Xenopus tropicalis: one gene and its partner. The protein of the gene in region 1 interacts with the protein of each later gene in a pairwise test. Links are inferred from orthologs where the notes say so. Each region holds a gene or a part of one and is shown on either strand. Other genes may lie near its edges.

The links. The genes of interacting proteins can lie anywhere in the genome.
Region 2: the proteins of spry1 (region 1) and gemin4 interact in binary tests that used the Homo sapiens proteins (3 or more experiments, as listed by UniProt). The link is inferred for Xenopus tropicalis from reciprocal best matches to the Homo sapiens genes SPRY1 and GEMIN4.

What each region holds. Positions count from the first base shown.
Region 1 is NC_030677.2:65,663,577-65,667,804, reverse strand, and holds the start of spry1 (protein sprouty homolog 1), read left to right. Parts: upstream 1-1,410; 5' UTR 1,411-1,952; coding exon of another isoform or gene 1,953-1,966; intron 1,967-1,986; exon of another isoform or gene 1,987-2,947; intron 2,948-3,939; coding exon of another isoform or gene 3,940-3,994; coding exon 3,995-4,228. UniProt on the Homo sapiens protein: Inhibits fibroblast growth factor (FGF)-induced retinal lens fiber differentiation, probably by inhibiting FGF-mediated phosphorylation of ERK1/2. Inhibits TGFB-induced epithelial-to-mesenchymal transition in lens epithelial cells.
Region 2 is NC_030678.2:96,481,068-96,483,756, reverse strand, and holds part of gemin4 (gem-associated protein 4), read right to left. Parts: coding exon 1-2,689. UniProt on the Homo sapiens protein: The SMN complex catalyzes the assembly of small nuclear ribonucleoproteins (snRNPs), the building blocks of the spliceosome, and thereby plays an important role in the splicing of cellular pre-mRNAs.

The sequences.
Region 1 (4,228 bases):
TAGAAATACAATGTAGTTAGACTGTATCCGTTGACCCTTTCAGTCCTGGCCATACATCAAAGCAGTCATGCCAATGGGAATGGGCGGAGGGATGGTAGTGGCAATGGTAGGACGGACCTACTACTATGAAATCCCAGGAAGGAATGTGTATTTGCAGGAAACTCAAGCTCCCCCCTGGGGGGGACAGGTCACAGTTCTTCCTTCCCTAAGGAAATAAACGTGAAGCTGCCAAGATCACACAGGAGACAAGTGCAGGCACATCAGCGCGGAGCTGCGCATCCAACACTCCCCGGGTACACACGCAAGCTATGCGCGCCCCTCTCATTAACTCTCTGCGCCCCTATACACAGCCCTTATGTACCTTATACACAGCCCTTATATACCTTATACACGGCCCTTATATACCTTATACACGTCCCTTATATACCTTATACAAAGCCCTTATATACCTTATGCACGGCCCTTATATACCTTATACACGGCCCTTATATACCTTATACACGTCCCTTATATACCTTATACACGGCCCTTATATACCTTATGCACGGCCCTTATATACCTTATACACGGCCCTTATATACCTTATGCACGGCCCTTATATACCTTATACACGGCCCTTATATACCTTATACACAGCCCTTACTACTTTCCTGCAATTTTGCATTTATTCAGCCTTATCACAGAGGCGCAAAATGCGTTGCTGCCACTAAGCCGATCTATAATGGTATTGCGCTACAGTTTCTTGAGAATAAAACTCCAGGAGCTAATAAAGAATTCATAGAAATTAAATTACAAACTACAGCCTATTGAGTTTGAAAATGCTATGTGCACTGGATCCCCAAAATCTCAAGGGGCCTCTGGGAAAAAAAAAACAATTAATTAAAAATTAATTCAGGGATGACGAACCTTCGAGTACTATTACTGACTGCCCTTCAAGTTATTGCCCCAGCCTTCCTGCAGACCTTGGGTCCCTTGATTTGTAAGTGCCACCCTGCGCTGTTAGTAAATGACCGAAGTCACGCAAAGTACTGCTGACAGGGCCATTACAGGGCTGTTTGGGGCGAGTTCCAATCTAAAAGCCTACCCATCACCCCATAAGTGGGCACATTTTTCGCCCGGGTGAACAACAGTGACAGCGACCTGACGCACGTGAAATCTCCGCTAAAATCCACCTTGCAGCGATTTCGCTCTGAGCTACCGCAGCCGCCACTGCCCCGCCCCTCCCACTTCTAATCCAATCAGCGCCGCCACGGCAGCTGAAGGTTTGGTGTTTTTTCCCCTACACTATTCCGGAGAGCCAATGAGAAGGCCGCTGTGGAACAAACCCAGCGTTCCAGGAATCCATTCATACAGAGGCAGGAGAGCGCAAGGCGTGGAAGGTTGTTCCCTGTGGAGCTGTGAGTGATCGCTGCGAGGGTGACACCCTCATTCATCACCATTTATTCTCTGCCCATCGCTTCTCATGTGGATTTCCTATCCGTGCTGAGGATTTAAGCGGCGCTCGCACACCGACCCGAGGAATATATGCGTGGGGCCGCGGCTTTCTGTTTAAAGGACTCTTGATAACGTTAGCGTTTTGCGATAAGAAAAGAATCGCTGGAGTTTACTTGTGGCTGAAATAAAGGAGTTATTATAAGGAAAAAGTGTTGTAGTCCTTGTGCCTCCTCCCATCGCATGCAGCAACACGGAGCCTACGGTGCCTGCCTGCTGGATCGCTCCTACCCCTGACAGAGGTGCAATTGCCTTTCCTGCCCACCTTGGCGTTTGTGGATTTATTTGTTTCCAAGGACTACCCTGGCCCTAATTACTGTGGCCCCCGGAGGGAAAGCTGCTACAATCAGATACAGTAGTGCCAGCCCTGGGGATTTACTGGAGACATGTCCCATGCTTAAGCCCCCCAGTTCCGATCGGATTTGCCGCAGCCTGGAGTTGGACGTGTTATTGCTTGGTGCATGCTTGCACAGAGGTAAGTGTCTGTATATCTGGATAATACTCTGCTCCTGGTGCAAGGCCATAAGGCAAGGATCTTTTACTGAAACTCCCAATATGCCAGCAGGCTTGCCCAAGTGAGGGATAGAGTGTATTTGCCCCATGACCCACTATCTTATGTGCCCCTTGGATACAAATATCCAATCGTGTAATATCTTTTCAGAAGGATGCACAACCAACCTGCGGCTGTGCTGAACTGCAGCTCTCAGAATGGCACCTACAACCCACACTTGCAGTTGTTGTTCTACAACAGCTGGAGGGATGCAGTTTTGATACCCCCCAGCTGCTTTACGCCTACATATTGCTGCAGTGTAACATATCAGCAGGCCATGGGTCAGAGTAGGGGCCTGCAGGGTTGAAGTTGCTTCAATTCGAGTTGGGTGTCCCTGGCACAGAAACGTGTAAATAAACTGTTTACGCAGACCTAGAGCTAGGTGCCCCTACTTCTTTCAAACGCAGGATGGGGACACCTAGTGGTAGGTGCAGGTAGTCGGACTAGTGTAGGGTAGGGGCTATTTATGTTAATTCTTTGATTGGTTAAATCGATCCGATGCCACTTTACTGCCAGAAGAGTGAGTGTAGGGGCAGTGAAGAGGCGATAAAACAGATTCGCAGAGAAATCTCTATGTGGGAACGCTGGCACACCTGGTATGGGGTGCTGAAACCCGTAAGGGGTGCCTTGTTCTGGGGCTCCGAGCTGGAGCCGATGGGAAAGGGTGCTGCGGTTGGAATGTGCGGAAAGTCCGCCCCCCTGCGGCAATCAGCGCCTCTCCTCCTCCTCCTTCTCACAGTCACGGTTTGTTTTTCATTCATAACTTTTTCCTTCCTTTCCCGTCTCTCGCTCTCTGATCATTCGGATTCTCTCTCTGTAGCCCTCCCCACCCCAATCCATCTCCATAATTTGCCCATTCCGTCTCTTCCGATTGTCGCACGATTAGTTATCCATTTGGCACACACGGTACAGTTATTTTATAGGCATTTTCTAAGCCTCAGATCGTGCGATTTTCTTTCTTTTCTTCAGTGAGAGCGTTTTAGCTTGCTTGCCTTGTGCAGCTGGAGGTGTGACACCAATGGGCTGTAGGATGTGTTAGTGTGCCAGGGCAGTGTGGGCATGCACCTTTGCACTGCCTGGCTCTGGAGGTTGGGTGCAGCTGGTATCACCCCTCTTTTTAGCATCTGCCACTCATCTGGGCTTGGGAATATATATTCAGCTTTAAAGATCATTTTCTCAGCTTGCCTTAAAAAACTTGTGCCTAGGGAATCACTGGAACAGATAAGTAGGAGGTCAGAACTTGCAGCACAGACTGATTAGTTAGTTAGTTTGTCTCTTATTTCTCTCCTTTCTTCCTTTGTTTTGGTCACCAAGAACTGCCCTTAGGTAAATATTATTTGACAGGGAGGCATCACATTTATTTATTTCTCCATGGCAAAACTCTGGGAGTTAAATTTGCTTTAAACAAGAATAAATTAAGATAGAGCCCCTTTATCAGAATTATACGCTGAAAGACTGAAGCCCTTTTAGTATGGTGAATTTCTTTTAAAGTTATTACTGGGGTAAAAGTCTTCTCTTTTGGAAATATATCATTTCCAGTCATAGGATAGGTTATCATTACCAAGTAATCACTTTGTTCAGATGTATAGTAGCTAAACGAGAAATCCATTCTGTGACTTCTTGAAGTGCTACGGTATCTGGAGGCTTTGTGTTTTTCTTGAACCAGTTGCATCATGCAGAAGCAGAATGACTTTCATACATGGCAAAACATGATTTATTAAATTGTAATGGGAGTATATTAGATATGGGGGGGAAATGCAGTGATCTGCCTTGCTTGTAGTTTATCTTGTAACTGTCATCTGACATTTTTTGCTGTGATGATTTGAATTTGTATCTTATATTATCTCCAAAACTCCGTTCTAAATTATTTATCTTTTGTTGTGTGTTTTGATCGGCAGGTTTTCAGATGCATGCCAAGTTCACGTTGAATGCCAGAAATCAAGATCACTACAGATGGAGCTACAAAGTCAACATGGCATTGGTGGTTCATTAGTTGTGATACAGCAGCCATCTTTGGACAGCCGGCAACGGTTGGAATATGAACGAGAAGTTCAGCCAGCGGCTATCTTGTCCTTGGATCAGATCAAAGCTCTTCGGAGCAGGAATGAGTACACAGAAGGCCCATCCATGGTAAAAAAGCCTGGACCTAAAACTGTACCAAGGCACATTAAGCAGGAACGGACTCAT
Region 2 (2,689 bases), on another chromosome or scaffold:
CATATAAAAGAAGGAAGCCTCCTGAACATAGTCCTGTTCTTTCCTTTCTGTCTGGGTCTCATTTTTATTTCCTGATATCTGCTGCTTGACAGCCTCTAATATATCAAATATGCAGTTAGTATAAAGCCTTGCAATGTGTTTGTGCCCTTCAAAAGGTAGCCAATCAGAACAACTAGAACTACATAGAAGCTGAAAGCCTCTGAGAAGAAGAACAGAGAACTGGAGATTATAAGCAAATGGTCGCAGATTCAAAAGTGGCATATGCTGTACATATTCTAGAGTGTAGGGTACATGAAGGAGTCGTCTTTTAAGGAGATGTCTCACTACCTCAGCAACAAGCTTGCATTCTGTTGAGCTACACCATGGTAGAACTTGGATCATTGCCACCAGAAAACCTTTACTAAAAAGGTTGACCTCCTCAGGGTCTTTGCTGTTGACAGAGAGAAGAGAAAGCATTTGGTTTTTCATTTCTGCAGATATGCAGCAACATTCCAGCCATGCCATAAGACCTGTGCCTGGTCCATACTCGGGTAGCTGAAGAGGAACCCATTCCCTCTCAGACAGTTTGCCAACGTCAAATAATGAAGATGGGACTTCGTTTTTAAAGTGTTTTCCAAATATTGGTTTTAGCCTCAAACATACAACCCAATCCAAGTTTTCCATTTTTTTATGCAACCAGAAGAGTGACTTGTTCCACGTTTCAGAGTTGTTTCCAGCCTCGGGCATGACTGCATTAATGATCAGTGTAAGAATGTCAATGATTAACTCTTTGGAGCCCAGTGTAAGGCAATGTGAATTCTCAGAAAGTTGCCAGCATTTTGTGTAGGAATTAAGAAGCTTACATAATGACATAATAAGTGGAAACGGGGAACAGGATAAAACCCAATGTTTTCCAGATTCATCCTCAGGATTCTGAACATTAAAAGCCTTATGAAGTATGTGCAAGCATAACGCAACATTAGCATATTCGTCAAAAATGTACGGGAGAACAAATGTTTGTATGACTTCAGCTGGCTGGAGAAGTTGGATAGAAGAATCCTTATCATTTACTTCTGAAGATTCCATCAGAAAGGCTAGTAAGGCTAAAAACTGCCTCTCTTCCTTATCAGAAGACAACTTACCCCAACAGGTTTCCATCAGGCACTCACACAACAGAGAGACTGTTTTTTCTGAATTATTAGGACACTTAAAGCATAAAGCTGGAAGGGAGCTCAATATCTTGGCTAAAAATGTATGAGCACCAACATTTACCACTGCAAAATGACAGGCTTTCTTTACTACTGCTTGCGGGTTCAGCAAAGCCAGTTTAGACACCTTTGAAACGGCCTGAGCAGCACTGTAATCAGAAAGGCTTTGGGAAATTTGGTTGAATGTTATATTAAGTTCATCTTGGAAACTGTCAGTAAATGCTTTGATAGATGGAGAAAGCCCTTTTCTGCCCCATAAGGATAAAACTTCTTTCAGCACTTCATTCTTCTCAGACAGTGAAAGTTCTGAAAAAATGCTTAATGTGACATCAGCGCCTTTTCGTACTGATCCAATATCCACATTACTTTGTAAAGCAGTAACTGTTACTATGAGATCCAGCAATTTTAATACCATTGCAGGGTCCTGAAAATGTGCTTTGTTTTTCTCAAGACAATTTAACCAGTCATTTGAGAAGGCCCAGGATACTTCTGAGGCGAAGACAGAACAAACTTCTTTGAAACGGTCCATTTTATTCTCAATAATTTTCATGGCAATAAAAGCCATCATTTCATTAGCATTAGAAGGACATCCATGTTGAACTTGGGTGGTTTTCTCTTGAAAGCTTGTAATGCAGTGTGCCAATTCCAGTACATCCCCTCTTTGTTCTTCAGGGTAGGTACCAGAATCTTCTAACGTTCTCAAGATTTTATGCAAAGATGCAAGGCTGTGTCTCATCCTGTAACATACATAGCCAACTACTTTGTTGTTATTCAAATAATGAATTAACTCCTCCCCCCACTGAAAAAGAAGGTCTTTGAGAAGGCTTAAACCAAAATGCTGAGCACCTCGTAGTAAGCGGAATCTTGAAGATGTGCTTCCGCTCTGCACCATCCTTTCTGCTACTCTAATCATATCAACATCTCTGGATCCTTTTTCACAGAAGGAAAGCACTACTGCAAATTGTTCTAAATATGATTTTATGGGCAGAAGCTCAGACTCCTTTTCGAGAAAGGCTGAGGAGCATAACATTTCAGCTAGATTTGCAATAGTAAAGCACCTCAGCTTGTTGGTAGCAACACACTGTTTCATTTTATGAAGCCCCTCTAGAAAAACAGCAAGGATATTATCGGCTTGATTTAAAGTCTGTTCAGGATCTGACTTAAATCTTTTGGCGCTCTGTGATGGTTCATCACTAGACTTTGGTAAGTACTGGGAAACCACAGAGGAAAATAACACAAGAGTTTCATTTTGCTCATCACTCTTGCTTTTCATTACCTCCCACCAGACATCTAAAAAAAAATCAACATCCTCTACTGAAGTCTCTTCACAAATATGCTGAAGTAGTGAGGTGGCCCCTTCAGCCCAAATGCCAACTGGAAGTGCCAACAGCAATTCTGCACAAATGTCTGCTGCTTTCATTGTTTTGAGCAGTTCAAAGAGTACAGTTTGACTTATTTTGGGGATCATGTTTTCCACTGGAAAGAAAACATCCTCTTTCCAT